Nothobranchius furzeri: one gene and its partners. The protein of the gene in region 3 interacts with the protein of the main gene of each other region in a pairwise test. Links are inferred from orthologs where the notes say so. Each region holds a gene or a part of one and is shown on either strand. Other genes may lie near its edges.

Region 1 (3,587 bases), on a different chromosome or scaffold from region 3:
CTGTTAAATCAAACCTGCTTTAGTTATGGGGAATGACCTGAAGCTGTTTTACTCCAAAGGTATGCTGGTATTTGTCACTAATCATTAGGGCTGAACGATCTATCGTTTGTGGATCGAAATTGCGATTTCAAACAGTACGGTCGTGACTGTCAAAGCTGCGGTTTTAGCGGTTTTGACTGATCCAGGATCAGTTGTGTAACTTTTTTTATTTTTATTTTTTTACATCCGGGGTTTTCTCCCTGTGTTATGGCGGTGGCATAAGCCAGAGCAGGGGAGGGGAGAGACTCCTCCCACATCGGAGCAGGTTCAGGCTGGTTTCTAAAGCTGGTTTATGCTTCATCAGCGTGACTGCAGAGTCGCGCACTTTAGTTGACTTGAAAGCTAAACTTCTCATTTAAAATGGTTTGAATGTTTCTGATGGCATATGTTGGTTCAAACAAGCTAAGGTGTCAGAATGTGTTCGTCTCTCTCACGGAACTGACGTTTTAGTGAGGAAAAACTATCAAGACGGCTTCGAAAAACGTGCAGCCGGCCTGCCTTGGAAATGCAGGGAAAACTGTGTGCATTTTTTTTATTTAATACATTTAAAAGCTATTTCTATCTACAGATTTCCTCCATGCATTTTTGGAGTAGAACATGTTTTTATAAACCTCCTCTCTAGATAAAAATCACAAGCACATGTTGCTTCACAAACACATTAAAAATTTAAATAAATATAATTATGGGAGAAAATATGAATAGCTTTAACTGTTTTTATTGTATGACTAAATAGTAAATATTAATGTGAATGATTTGTTGTACTAGATTAGAATCTAGACCATCTTTTCACTTAATCTATAGGATGGCTTGGCAGGCTAGTGTTGGACCTTTGTTTGCAGAAAATCGTGAATTGAACCGAAATCGCAATTTCTGCAAGAAAAATTGCAATTCAATCTTTTCCTAAAATCGTTCAGTCCCACTAAACATGGAAAAATGACTTCAAAGGTTTTATTCCAAATGCAAAATGAGACCTAAATAAATTGGAAGATATTTTTTATGGAATTTCAATAGATGAAGTGTTTGTAGAAGTTACTGATACCACTAATTAAGAAAGATTTTCAAACTACAAATATTTAGACTGGAATTTGAAAGCATACCAGCACATATTGTGACAATCCGGAGTTCTCCCTCAGAATTATGGATGATTTTCTAGAAATGTCCTGCCTGTTTTGTGATATAATGTAGGCAATGCATCTTTTTATTTATTTATTTTTTGCAAAGCCCATCCTCGTCCTGTAGAGCCTCATGCAGTTTGAAAAGTGTGCCGCTCAGCATCAGCCAGTAGTGATATCCGCCTATGTACAGATGTCAGTCAAAGAGCAGAGTTGGGGGCATTTCTCATGGACATGAATTAGCACAACTTGGGAAAATATACAAGACGGTGTGTTTCAGCCCTGTTTGCCAGCTAGAGGTGTGGCCATAAATATGGAGGTGGGGAGAATGGCTTAAGGTGCAATACATGTTTCAGCCTCTAGATGGCGGCGTCAGATAAAACAGTCCATATATCTTATGTGTTCATATGTTCTGCAAGTGCATTGGTTCAGTCCTTGAGTATGAACAATTAAGATTTTTTAAAAGCCGGGTTATACTGATTTAAGAATAACTTCATAGTAAATAGGTGACTAAAATGGATGAACCTGTGTGTACACATACCTGAGCATATCATAAAAATGTTAGCTTTAGGTTAAAATTAAAAATATGGTTTGTTTTAATTAATTTAATTGAATGTCCAAATATAACAAAGAAAAGTCTAAAGTATAAAAAATGTGTTTTAGAACCAGCAAGATGGTAGCTGTTAGCTGAAGGATAGCTGTACAGAATGAAGATGCAGTTCACACATTTCTACAACCACCATCAGCAGCAGACGGGGTGGGTTAAGTGTCTTGCTCAAGGACACAACAGAAGAATTGTCTGCCAGGGCATGGAATCAGTCCTACAACCTTCCGATTATTAGACAACCCGCTCTACCTCCTGAGCTACTGCTGAGGAATTAAGAGTGGTTTAAATCTTTTGCACAGCACGAGTCATGAAGCAGCGTTTAAAACAAACCAGCGAGAGTTTTTCAGCTGTTTAGGTTCGTCCTTCCTCTCCTTGCTGGTAGTGCGGTCAGTGTCTTTCTCTGTATTAGTTTTTCCATGTCTGCTTTTAGCTCCTGCACTCGTGTCCTGCGAGTGAAAGGAAGTGATGGTCAGTTTTAGGCCAACGCCCACTGATCCCAGTGACACTGACAAACAGGACCGATATAATAATACTAGTAAAACTGAGAAGAGGTCACTCGTTAGATATTAGAGATGATCGTCTTTAGGAGAAGCCAGCTGGAAGGTGTTGGGGGAGCTGTGCTCAATCAGAGGTGACCTCTTTTCCAAGTCCCCGTTCTCTCCCTCTGCTCTCTTTTCTCTCTCACACATCTCTCTTCCTGTTTCTATTTCGCCTCTATCGTAGTTCTGTTGTAGGAGGGAGATAAGGGCACCCTCCCTTCAGATTTAACCTCGTTTCTGCCTCTTTTTTTCACTGTTTACGTCCACAGCTGAGGGATACGCCGCCTTCCAGGAGGACAGTTCGGCAGATGAGGCGGAGAGCCCCTCCAAAATGAAGCGCTCCAAGGGAATCCACGTGTTCAAGAAGCCGAGCTTCTCCAAGAAGAAAGAGAAGGACTTTAAGGTGAAGGAGAAGGGCCCCAAAGAGGAAAAGGCCAAAGATAAAAAGTCCAAGGACCTGACGGCAGCAGATGTGGTCAAACAATGGAAGGAGAAGAAGAAGAAGAAGAAGCCTGTTGCAGAGTCAGAGCCAGTCCCAGTGGAGACCCCCACCATCAGGCCCATCTTTGGAGCCCCGCTGGGTGAAGCGTTGAAGAGGACGGCTCTGTACGACGGCATCCAGCTGCCCTCCATCTTCAGAGAATGTGTGGACTACATAGAAAACTATGGCATGAAGTGTGAGGGTATCTACCGGGTCTCAGGTATCGAACACCTTTGTTTTCCTTCAGAAGAAATCATAACACTCCTCTCTGAGTACTTCATTCATTTGTTTCCCGGCCAGGTATGAAGTCTAAGGTGGATGAACTGAAAGCCGCCTACGACCGTGAGGAGTGCCCCTGCCTGGAGGAGTACGACCCCCACACCGTCGCCAGTCTGCTGAAGCAGTACCTCAGAGAGCTGCCCGAGAACCTGCTGGGTCGAGACCTGGCCCAGAGGTTTGAGGACGCCTGCGGTCGGCAGACGGAGGCCGAGAAAGTGACGGAGTTTCAGAAGCTGTTGACTGAAGTGTCTCCTGAGAGCCGACTTCTCCTCTCCTGGCTCGTCACACACATGGACCATGTCATCGCCCGGGAGTCGGACACCAAGATGAACATTCAGAACATCTCCATCGTCCTCAACCCCACCATACAGGTCAGAGGAGGCTGTTTAGTGTCTACAAAGTACGCTACAGCCAAAGTACGGCTTAAAGAAGATAAAGCGACTTTAACTCAGACCTTCTCCTTAGCAACAAACCAACTAATTTTACGAGTTCAGTTCATCTCTGACACCATTGCCCAGTTCGGCGGGGCT
Region 2 (4,337 bases), on a different chromosome or scaffold from region 3:
TGGATTATATGCAATTATCTTAATGACTGAAGTCAGTTCTGTCTGTTAGCAAAATATCTCATGAACTTTTGAAAGTCTTTCATAAAATAATCATTAGACATACATGAACAATTTTGGACAAGCTAATGAAAGCTGTTGGATAATATGCATATAGGAAGGCATTTAATTTTAGGAATGCTATGTAAATCACATGTCTCCTTCCAGATCATTGCTATCAGATCTTTAGAACCATTGTATCTATGAGGCTAATATATATATATATATATATATATATATATATATATATATATATATATATATATATATATATAGTCATTTTGGCTCCACAGAGTTGCTGATCCTCCTTATGGAATTTCTAACTTTTGGTTTTGACAGGAAAAAAACAGGCATGAGGTTCAACTCAGCACAGGAAATAAAATAGGGTTCAAGGTAGGTTCTAGGAGTTGAGCTATTTTGCCCATTTTATCCCAATATTTGTAGTTGACAACTTATTCCATTTCAGTTCTGCTTGAGTTTGAACTACTGAAGCCCATTTTAATAAATTGTATTTTATTTGATATTTTCCAAATAGTTGTATACTTGTTTGTAGGCTATCATTGTCCACTTTAGGGACTCATAACACTTCATGGATTGCAGCAGCAGTTCAGTCTTTTCTTACAGCTGGAATGGGACTGACGAGAGAAAAGGAGCTTTAAAATGAGTGAGGGCTTGTTTCTGTTTAAATGCTACACAAATGAAGTAAAAGGTGGAAATATATATATGTGAGTGTGAAAGTTTTTATTGCAAATGATGTAACAAGAACAATGTGGAAAAACATGTTCATTTCAATTTGAATTCACAGCCACATAACAAGAATATGTATTCATATGTTTTTGTGTAATCAATTAAAATCAAAGTGTCTAAATGTGCTTTTTCACATTTTAAGAAATTATGCATTTGTACACAACAACACATTTAAATATTGTTTTTAATTTGTTCCACAGATGTGACTTTATTTGTAATAAAATTGATTTCGTAGACCATCGTGTTCATTCTCTTGTTTGGTCCGGAGGTTTTCTTATTTCTGAGGGACATTAAACACCTCAGTCGTCTGAAAGGGAGAGTGGTCAGACCTTACTCGGTCAGTTTGGTTGAGGCCCTGCCCCGGAAACACAGATTAAATTTCACAGAGAAGATGCAGATCCGTGTTTTTCAAAACAAAGTCAAGAAAAACTCTTTATATTTTGAACAATTACATTTCCAACAATACAGGTTTTCAATAAGAAGTTCTAATAATTTCCCAACAGAAATATAGAATGAAAATATATACCTAACAAAAGAAAGCTCGGGTCTCCGTGTTTATTTTGGTTCTCTTGCTTGTTTTCCCCACAGACACAAACTTATTTTGAAAAATTTTGACAGGAAGTTGGAGTTGTTGATTTTACTTTACTGAGTCTGCGCAGTGCAGCAGCAGCAAGCCCTGCCCCTCCGCCTGGCTGCTGTGTTTTCACTGTTGTTACAGACGAGCGAAGAATAAAACAGAGAGATAAGGTCATTTAATGGAAAACTGATTCAGTCTCCTCCGAAAACTCGGCCTCTGAGGAGTGAAGAGGAGAAGGAGATACGGAAGAGAACAGGAGGAGGAAGACTGGATGGAGGAAATAGGGTCTGACTGAAAATGCTCCGGATCTGACTGAAAAGGTAAGGAAATCCGCCGGATCCATACTTATTGTTAGTACAGCCTAAAGTTGTCGCTGCTGTGATGAAGCACGCCTCGGTGAGGGAGGTTCCAGCCGCAGCCTCCGCAGTCTGCAGCTCTGAATGTAGGTCATTGTGTCTTTAGGTCTTTTCAGCCGAACCGAGCCTTGCCCTGCTGGGCCGAGCCCTCCTGCAGTGAGGCTGCAGAAAAGGATGCAGCAGCAGAAACTGCAGTAACTAGATCAGGTCTGCCAGTTGTAAATGATGGAAGATTACAGGCATGGATGAGCAAATTTGGGTCGCTTGAAAATAAATTAGGGCCAAACAATCTAAAATTACCGATGTTTTCATGTAAGTAGCTGAAATAAGAGGTCCAACTAGGGTTAGGGTTAGTAAGTAGCTGAAATAAGGTCCGACTATAAACTTTATAACTACCAGGATGATCTCTCAGGTTAAAGTATTTAATCTGATCTAATCTAAACCAGGTTTAATCACTGAATGATTACAGATGGAGTTAACTGAACACAAAACTTGGACCACTCAGTCAAACAGCAGAAATGTGAACCAGGCTGAGCCGAAGCCAGCAGCTGGAATCTGCTGGGAGAAATGCCATCTGAGAGAAAATCCGCATGGAAAAGCCACTAAACCTGGTGTTCCTGCAGCACTTCAGCTGGAACCAATCAGCAGCCTCATCAGCCGCTGCTTTTCTTTCCGAGGTTACGCGTTTTGATGTTAATGTTTTTGTTGTCATGCTTTTGCAGATGTCCAGTGTTACAATGGAAGCAAATTCCATTCTTCCCATCCTCAAAAAGAAGCTGGCCTTCCTCTCAGGTGTGGGATTGTGCTTCCTTCAGCGTGACGACTTTAATATTAGTAATGTGATGTCTCTAACTGCCTACTCGTCTCTTTTTTAGGGGGCAAAGACCGCCGCAGTGGTCTGATTCTGACCATCCCCCTCAACTCAGATCAGACCAGCATGGAAGAGCTCAGCGCCACACTGGATTACTTGCTTAGCATTCCCAGGTACACACACTCATGGAAACTGTCTGTTGTGGGAAGATTTGTTTCCCCTTTTATCCCTTTGGACAAGTTTGGATCTGATGGGGGTCAAACATGTTGAGACATCCTATGTGAAGTATTTCCACACGTTCTTTAGTCCAGGAATGTTCTCGAGGTGTTCAGATTGCATGCATGGATTCCCTCCCTCATGTTTGGAGCTGTAGGAGGAACTCACCAGCAGAGTGTGAGCAGCCACGTATGAAAGAGTCCAGCTTAAACTTTCGCTAAACTCTGTTAAACTTTTCTGGTACTCCTTTGCAAATCAAACAGCAATTTTGCCGTTGTCCCCACATTTAAACAAGGTCTTGTTTGTGCATTAACAGGAAACTCATTAATACTGATATACATGACTTCTATAGATGTGTGTGGTTCTATATCAGTGGTTCTAAATAGGCGGACCCGGCCCGCGAACCGCCACTTTCTGCTGCCTTATTAAAATGAGGGGAGGCATGTCAGTCCAAACACATCCACGTCACTTCTCCTCCAGCTTCACTGGCTGCCAGTCTACTTCAGGGTTCATTTCAAGATCCTGGTTCTGGTATATAGGGCCTTACATGGACAAGCACCATCTTACATAGGTGATCTTCTCAGTCCCTACACCCCCAGCAGGTCCCTGAGGTCCAGTGATCAAAGCCTACTGGTTGTGCAGCACCAGGCTAAAGACCAAAGGTGACAGAGCATTTGCTGCTGTGGCCCCCAGACTCTGGAACTCTCTCCCCCTGAGCCTGAGATCAGTGGACTCAGTGGTGATAGGTAATTTTTCATTTATCCCAAATTACCTTAAAGGACGACTCGGAGAGAGAGAGAAGATTATTATTATTCGTAATGTCCATGAATCGTCATGCGAGAGCTGGGCGGAAACCCATCCATGGAGCTAACCAGCCCCCCTCTGTTCCTGGGGAAAGCCTTCAGCTCACCAGCTCTGCATGCCCGCATTCTCCACCAAAATGTTAGGTAATTACATGTGGGGTAATAACCCTGGAACCTGAAATAACACACATGACAACAAGGGAGACATTTTACCCTGAGTCCCCAAAATAATGGAGAGTTAACGCAGAGGAACCTCCTCCGAGGCTGTCCCCACGTCACTCCCATGTGCTTCCAGTTCGTCAGGGGCTTTTTTCACAAAGGATGGAGGAGAAGGCAGGGCCTTCTCAGGTTACAGAGGAACAGTTTTCAGTTGGAAACCCACAATCAACATCCTTGCTCAACCTTTCATGAACAGCCACAGTTGGCAAACACAGAGATTCATGAAGTGTTAATAACACAAAATGGGCATCTTTTAGGCCTCAAAAAGGTACAATTATAAAAATACCCAACAAGTGGACTCCTTTAAAAAGCAGCTGAAGACTCACTTGTTCAAGCTGGTTTTTGTATGACCTTCTTCACCACTCTCTCTTTATTCTGCTCTCCCCACCTATTCCACCTTCCTCAGGATCCACTGATTTCGCTTTTTCATATTCACACTCTCTCTTTATTAACATTTTTTAATCACAATTGTCTATTTTTGCTCATTTTAGGCATATTTTTAATCATTTTCTAAAATCTTTTTTATATTTTACATTTTTTGTGAAACGCCTTGTGATTTTTATCTTGAGAGG
Region 3 (3,214 bases):
ATTTACTCAATGCTGGTGATGGTAAACTACTATGTAGCCACAGCTGCCCTGGGGCAGTCTGACAGAGACCAGGCTGCCTTTTTGCGTGATCGACCCCTCTGACCACCACCAACAAAGACAAGTTAAGCCGGGCGTACACTGTGCGACTTTTTCAATTTTTTGAGCCGATTTTCCAGTCGTGCGAGAATCCACGAGATCGGGGCGAGTTTTGCGCCGAGCGTCGTGTAGTGTACAGGGGGTTACGAGAGGCGATTAACACCACGTGACCAGCTACCGATCAGCAGTCGTGAGCTCGCACGGACTTCTGGCGTGTTTAATATTTTGCTCGTCCCTCGTGAGGGTATCGCACTGTTGAAGCGGCGCTGCGAGCAGCTGCAACCCAAAATGTATCAGAACCGCTCACGGCGCATGCGCAATCCTGCATCAACACCGTTCGCTCGCTATTTCCCTAATAACACACGTTGTCCGTTTTAATTTCTACACGTTTTTTACACACAAAGATTGTCAAGAAAGCGTGTTTGTCGTGTTCATGTCAAATTAAACTGATCACAAAACACAGATTTACTTTCTTTATTTCGTTTTCCTCATCCAACCCCCATAAATCCCTGTGCGTCCTCCTGCAGCACTCCTGAAGGACAACAGGCAAAACAAGACAAAAAAGTCTGACGTGTTGTGTAAAAACTGCTATTTTTAGCATATTTTTGGGCCGACCTGTTGCTACCAGACGTACAGTGTGAGCAGTCAGGTCGTATCCGAGAACTGGGTCGTGCAGTGTGAGCGCATGACTCGTGAGATCTGCCCTGCGAGGAAGTCGTACAGTTAGAGCTGAAGCTGAGTGCTACGAGTGAAAAAGTCGCACAGTGTCCGCCTGGCTTTAGGTGACGTGTCTTGCTCAAGGAAACAGCAGCTAAATTCTCTGCGGGGGGGGGGGGGGCATCGATCCTGCAAACCTACAATTACTCGACAACCCCGCTCTACCTCCTGAGCTACTGCTGTTGCCCTAAAAACACCCCAAATGTGAAAAATAAAACCTCCATCCGTTTTCTTTCAGTGTTTGGTTTTAGGAATTATGTGCCTAAAATGAGCTGTTTCCAAAAGTTCACATTTGTGATGTCACAACAGGAAAACCAGAATAGAGCCACTTCTCAGGTGCAAGAGAGAGGTGCTGCGGGGGGATCAGTGGCTCTATTACAAGCCTCCCATGGATGTCGGAGCCTCCCACCTAACCGTAGCTCATCAGGGGGTGGGTGGTCGTGGCCCACTAGCTTGTTTTCTTAAAGTGACAGAGCCCTGAAACGGCTCATTTAGGAAGGAACTGAAACCATCAAGAATAAAACAGCTGAAAGATCTTTATGTGGGAGGGATTTAGTGCAGACCATAGACTATTACACCTTAAGACAGAAGTCACAGTACATCCCCTTCAAACAAGAACGCCGCACTACAGCAGCTTCTCCAACCTGCACTTGAGTTTGCTGTTTAGTGTTTTGGTTCTGTGTCTTGTTGATGTTTCAGGGCGGTTTGAGGCCCATGCACCCCTCAGCCATGCATCCCTCAGCCCAAGGTCTGCTGCCTGCACCTATGGTCCAGATCCCTACTGCTAAGGTGAACCATACAAATATAAACACACGCTTTCCACCACCTGTTTTATGCTTCTTATAATCAGTGATGTAAAAATCAGCAACAATCTGCCCCGCTGTGTCACCTCTCAGCTGGCTAGTGCTGGGTTAACGGTGATGCGGACAGCCCATTAGTAGTGTTTACACAGGACTTTGTTTCTGTTGTAAACATGTGGCTCAGGTTTTGATAGTGATTCACCACCTCTCATTCTTGTTGTAAATATCTCCCTGAACAGCCTCAGTTCAGAGAAATGAAGGTCACACCGGACAGGACCGTTAAGCTAACAGCGAAAGTCTTAAAACCAATATTTCATGTAATGTTTAATCCTCCCACTTAGTCATTTAGATGGAAATCTGTTTCCGCAAGAGCATAAGTAACAGCAGGGATGTCCTGATGTTACCAAAACAAGGCTGTGTTGGAAAACGTACGTGGTAAAGGTTTATGGAGGTCACGCGTCAGTTTTCTGTTGCTGACATGTTTATAAATGAAACATCGCCCTTTTTTTAGGCGGTTTTGTTTTGTGTTTATGACCAGGCCCCCTTCCAGAGCTCTCCGCAGGGCACTCCTCGTCACAGCTTCCTGTCCCACAGCCAGAGCGGGCAGAGGTTTTACCACCATGGCAAGTAGCCCACAGCGCCCTCAGCATCCGCTTCCCGGACACTCTGGAGACGCCGTCGGACCTGGTCTTGATGTTTTAAACCTTTTTGATGTAAAGTTTGTACAGTAGCTTTCATCGCTTCTGGTTTAAAGTCCTCAAACTCGCACTTGTCTTTTTTGTTCTCACTACACTTTTAAATAGTAAATTTGTAAAATAACTGTATTACAGACCCAGAATTTTTAGTTTCTCCATAAATGATTGGAATTAGACCAATGAGACTGGTCCCGCACACATTAACTAGTTAAGCTTAAACACTTTGTCCCAAGTTTTTGTCTGTCCTCGGATGACCTTTTGTAACACGATTTGGAGGAAAACCAGCTGTAGCATAAATAAAGTTGGGTTATTTGGAATTATTCACTTAAATGTTGCTAAATAAACAAATCACTTTTCAACTGTTTTTGCCATTCTTTCCTTTTTATTGTTTGCCCACAGAGACGTCCTGCAAAGTCGGGCCTGGTTAAGTAAACTGCTGCTCTGAAAACAAATCTGTTCCAGGTTGGAGTCATTTCTTCCCAAAGTTTCTGCAAAGAGCTTCCCAGGAGTTGTTTTTGGACACAAAACAAAAGGAAGGTTGCGTTGTTCCGCATAGGCGCCAGGTGATGGAGCTGCTTCAGACCAGGTGTTGTGCAGAAATACGAATCCGCCTGCTGAACAGACCTCCACTGGAGATGAAGCCCTTCATAAATCAGGGATCAATAAAAAGAAAACACTGTCCCTCTTCTTTCTAAAGGTGATCATCTATTTTAAATATGCACACCTGTTCTGGTTTATGATCACGTAGTCGGGACGTGAACTGTGACCGAGCCCACAGGAGGGTCAGAAAACTGGAGAGAATGAAAAAAAAACGCAGACGAGTCATTAGCTCCCTTCGTTTCCATTGGTCTTGATTGCCCCTGAAACAGTTGCAAGGAAGAAAGAGAGAAAAGGGGAGGCGGAGTC
Region 4 (4,191 bases), on a different chromosome or scaffold from region 3:
AGTGAATAACCAGTGAAATCAAACAGATAGCAAAATGAAATGGCTGGAGTTGTAACAGTTGTTTATTTGTAACAATGGTATTTATGGTAACATTATATCTGTATAATCTACTTCATAGTGTATACCTGAAAACAGTGTTTTACTGTTATTTATTTCAAAAATACTCAAGCTCTTGTCAACTGACCTCATTTTCTGTGAGTACAGTCAAACCCAGCTCTCTTAAGACATTCTTTTCAGCAAAGGAGAAGGCAGGATCATAAACATAGCAGTCCCGCAGTAAAATCTACATGGACAGGGGCAATAAAGCACATATTTTGCATCAGAGTTTCACAAGTATCATTTATAACACAGATGGAGTCGATCTTCTCACCTGTCTCGCATCCAGAAGAAGCAGCAACATGGCAAGTTGGTAGCGAGCGGCTACACATGAAGAAAAAGACCCAAGACCATAACAAACACACATCAGTGTTTCTTCTGGGGCTTTTTCCAGCTGATTTTCAGTGTCACTGTCCCCTGGAGGTTTTAGGGATGCTGCTGCTGCCTGGAAATTCTCTGAAGAGAAGATGATCCACTAAATAACTAAGCTTAACTCAACCTACATATCTACAACAAACTCACCATTCCAGTCTTTCCAAAAATCTTCGTACTTTAGTTCAAACCTAAGAAGGAAAGATATAAGCAAACCAATAACTTATGGGAAGATGTATGATTTCACCTATTATGCAAGATAAATATTGTTACTCATATATATATATATATATATATATATATATATATATATATATATATATATATGTATATATATATATATATATATATATATATATATATATATATATATATACATACATACATACATACATACATGTGTGTGTGCGTAACTTCTTACATGTTGTCTCTGATTCTTCTGATGAGTTTTCCAACATCCAGTTGCTCCTGATGGCATGATGGTGAGTTTAGAGGAACTTGATGAGATTTAAATTGCCTACATACACCTTTTCGACGCCGAGCTACCTGCCATTCATCGGATATGTACGACATTTGTGTGAATTGCCAGATGTAATTTACATAAGTACATACATTTCCAAACGTAAGTATCATAAAAACATGGAACTCAAAACCAAATTTAGCATTTTGAGAGCTGAAAGCTAAAAATGGAAACGCAGATGACCTATTCAAGTGCAACACATTGTTCTGTTTCCGGTGTGATTTCCGTCTAGTTAAAAGTCACGTAAATTCAACAGATTTGCTGTTGTTCGATTGTTTTTATTTTTAAAAAAAATATTGACCGCTTTATAAAAATGTATGTGTTGAATGGTTGGTTTTAATTAAGCTGCTTTTAAAATATTAATGAAATTATTTGTAGTGTACATTAATTGAAGTGACACGGCTAAACCGGAAGAACTTGCTTTTGACAAAAATATATCATTCGTCAACAGTTCGTGTCTCTGCAGTTCGTCTTATTACCACATAAGATATGTGTTTTTGATCTCAGACCAAGGTTGTAATTAATATTTTAGTAAGTTAACTTAAACGAAATCGTCGTTTTTTATCACTACTAACATGTTGTGTGTATTTACATTAATGCTACAGAACGTGCGTTATTGCTAGTAATTAGCCTTCGCTCCGTTTTCTTCTAAGCAGATTTGTATAGTTTTATAATCGATGTTTCACGTTTAGTCTTATTTGTGTATTCATCGTTATTGATTGTAAACCTTTTTGTCATTATTAATTTATCGTTAGTTAAACCACAAACGTTGACTTCATACCTGACTTAGTTATCGCATTTTATTTCCCTCTTCTTTGCCTTTAATAAACTAGATATGCATCTTTTTCCTGATTTTGAAGTCACAATGTTTCTTTCCTGGAAAATAAATGCACGTGTAATTTTAGGATTCGGTCACATTTCATTAAGATCTATATTGTTTATAACTTGCAGAGATGTCAATGTCCCACCTTTACGGGCGGAGGGAGGAGGAAGAGGAAGGTGTGGAGGTGGAGAGTTTTGAGATTACTGACTGGGATTTAGCCAATGAGTTCAACCCAGACCGTCGCAAATTCAGGCAGAGCAAGGAGCAGGCCACATATGGCATCTGGGCCGAGAAGGATTCTGATGAAGATGAAAGGCCCAGCTTTGGTGGCAAGAAGTATAAATGGCTTGCTTTTGACACAAATTCCAATTCTGAAACAATTTCTAACCAAATGTTCTAATAAAATATTTATGATTTCTTTTTAGATCCAAAGACTACACTGTACCTGTGAGCTTTGTGAGTGGTGGTTTGCGTAAGAGTGCTGCTGAAGAGAAAGAGCGGGAAAAAGAAGGCAGCTCTGACGACTCTGATGATGATACTTCTGCAAAACTCCCCCCTTCACGCGTGACTGCACCCAAAAAACTCCAGATGGTAATTTTTAAATGTGCGCACATTGTGATGTCCATTGTTTGTAGAAGAAAATAGTGAAAATAATGATGTTGGGAAAAAATGTTTTTCTAGGGTAATTTCTGTGGAAATCAGTCTAAGAGGTTTGCAGGTGGAATACAGTCTGGACAAGGAATTGGTAACTGGGAGAAACACACCAAAGGAATTGGACAGAAACTTCTGCAGAAGATGGGTTACCAGCCAGGGAAAGGCTTGGGGAAGAATGCTCAAGGTGTGTTTAGTTGACTTAGATTGTTCTTTTAAAAATGTTGTAAAATGTTTTGTTTTTTACATGGATGTGGTGGAATTGAAACACTTGTAATGTACTTTCTCTCTGTAGGTATCATAAACCCCATTGAGGCAAAGATCCGTAAGGGAAAAGGAGCGGTTGGTGCTTATGGCAATGAAAGAACCCAGCAGAGTCTTCAGGACTTTCCTGTAGTTGACTCAGAGGAAGAAGAGGAGAAGGTAAAGTACTGAGAAAAAAAATTGTCTTTACAATGTTGTTTTTATTTTTGTGTTTGATTTTATTGATCAAATGAGTCTATAGAGTCATTGTGGTAATTTTCTATATCTTTATATAGGAATTTCAGAAGGAACTTGGCCAGTGGCGTAAGGATCCAGCTGGGCCTGCAGGAAAAAAGAAGCCCAAGTACTCTTACAGAACAGCAGATGAGTTGAAGGCTAAAGGTAAAATAGTGAGTCGGAGCACATCTGCAACTGCAGGAGAGCTGGCACAGGTCAAGGTATGTTTATGTTTCACTTGTGTGCTGTTTGTTTTTTATGTTGGCATGGCTGCATAGGTGCAAAATTGAGGATTCAGTGTTTTATTAAGCATCAGTAATTTAAGTACATTTTGGCTACATTCATAGTACTTATTTATCCTGACATTTCCCTTGGTCTAGGTAATAGATATGACTGGAAGAGAGCAGAAGGTATACTACAGTTATAGTCAGATGTCTCACAAACACAGTGTTCCCGATGAAGCTCCACCAAGCTTGGCTTCACAGGATCAAAAGGTATCTGGCTTTGCTCTCCCCGAACTTGAGCATAATCTGCAGCTTCTGATAGACCTGACAGAACAAAACATATTACAGGTAAGAGGAAACCAAGAATTATTTACAACATATTTAGCTACAAGAATAGGATATTAATAAGTCAGCAACCTGAGAAAAATGTGAAGAACTTGTAATCTCTACTAAAGCGTTCTTTCTTTTTTTTGTGCATCTTTTGTAGTCTGCCAGACGTTTGCAGCATGAAAAAGACGTGGTTGTTTCTCTGAGCCATGAGTCAAAAGCTTTGCAGAGCAGACTGGAGTCAGAGCAAGAATCCATCCGAAGAATGGAAGCTGTCTTAGCATTAGTGGAGCGTTTTCCTTCTGAAGAGACGGCACCGGGAGAGGGCCCGACCCTACAGGTTTGTGTTACAAACACTGACTGGAGCCGGTCTGCAAGCTGTTCAAATTAAGGAGTTCCAGCTTTATATTTCATAATTGTGAAGCTGATTTGTAGTGCTTGTCTCTTCAGGAGTGTGCCCAGATCTTTGAGACATTACAAACCGATTATTATGAGGAATACAAGATGATGGGATTGGCAGATTTGGCTGTGGCTGTCATTCATCCATTGCTTAAAGAGAAACTCTCCTCCTGGGACCCTGTGAAGGTAGTCTTTTACAGTTAGAGGAAACCACATTTTTAGTAAATGATTAATATCCAAGCTAATTCTTGAACGCTTTCTGATCTTTTCAGGACAGTTCTTATTGTCTGGAGGATATC

The links.
Region 1: the proteins of gps2 (region 3) and ralbp1 interact in binary tests that used the Homo sapiens proteins (3 or more experiments, as listed by UniProt). The two-hybrid records come from large-scale screens. The link is inferred for Nothobranchius furzeri from reciprocal best matches to the Homo sapiens genes GPS2 and RALBP1.
Region 2: the proteins of gps2 (region 3) and sestd1 interact in binary tests that used the Homo sapiens proteins (3 or more experiments, as listed by UniProt). The two-hybrid records come from large-scale screens. The link is inferred for Nothobranchius furzeri from reciprocal best matches to the Homo sapiens genes GPS2 and SESTD1.
Region 4: the proteins of gps2 (region 3) and tfip11 interact in binary tests that used the Homo sapiens proteins (3 or more experiments, as listed by UniProt). The two-hybrid records come from large-scale screens. The link is inferred for Nothobranchius furzeri from reciprocal best matches to the Homo sapiens genes GPS2 and TFIP11.

The regions. Positions count from the first base shown.
Region 1 is NC_091751.1:42,841,492-42,845,078, forward strand, and holds part of ralbp1 (ralA-binding protein 1), read left to right. Parts: intron 1-2,566; coding exon 2,567-2,998; intron 2,999-3,078; coding exon 3,079-3,428; intron 3,429-3,587. UniProt on the Homo sapiens protein: Multifunctional protein that functions as a downstream effector of RALA and RALB. As a GTPase-activating protein/GAP can inactivate CDC42 and RAC1 by stimulating their GTPase activity.
Region 2 is NC_091754.1:30,155,515-30,159,851, forward strand, and holds the start of sestd1 (SEC14 domain and spectrin repeat-containing protein 1), read left to right. Parts: upstream 1-1,456; 5' UTR 1,457-1,680; intron 1,681-2,438; coding exon 2,439-2,508; intron 2,509-2,591; coding exon 2,592-2,700; intron 2,701-4,337. UniProt on the Homo sapiens protein: May act as the primary docking protein directing membrane turnover and assembly of the transient receptor potential channels TRPC4 and TRPC5.
Region 3 is NC_091742.1:53,242,073-53,245,286, forward strand, and holds the end of gps2 (G protein pathway suppressor 2), read left to right. Parts: intron 1-1,512; coding exon 1,513-1,602; intron 1,603-2,151; coding exon 2,152-2,244; 3' UTR 2,245-2,667; downstream 2,668-3,214. UniProt on the Homo sapiens protein: Key regulator of inflammation, lipid metabolism and mitochondrion homeostasis that acts by inhibiting the activity of the ubiquitin-conjugating enzyme UBE2N/Ubc13, thereby inhibiting 'Lys-63'-linked ubiquitination.
Region 4 is NC_091757.1:45,000,280-45,004,470, reverse strand, and holds the start of tfip11 (tuftelin-interacting protein 11), read left to right. Parts: upstream 1-1,391; 5' UTR 1,392-1,501; exon of another isoform or gene 1,502-1,519; intron 1,520-1,939; 5' UTR 1,940-1,941; coding exon 1,942-2,147; intron 2,148-2,236; coding exon 2,237-2,402; intron 2,403-2,492; coding exon 2,493-2,649; intron 2,650-2,757; coding exon 2,758-2,885; intron 2,886-3,001; coding exon 3,002-3,163; intron 3,164-3,322; coding exon 3,323-3,514; intron 3,515-3,653; coding exon 3,654-3,833; intron 3,834-3,943; coding exon 3,944-4,078; intron 4,079-4,164; coding exon 4,165-4,191. Other genes in the region: srrd (SRR1-like protein), read right to left, coding at 185-283, 371-552, 619-659, 890-1,101. UniProt on the Homo sapiens protein: Involved in pre-mRNA splicing, specifically in spliceosome disassembly during late-stage splicing events. Intron turnover seems to proceed through reactions in two lariat-intron associated complexes termed Intron Large (IL) and Intron Small (IS).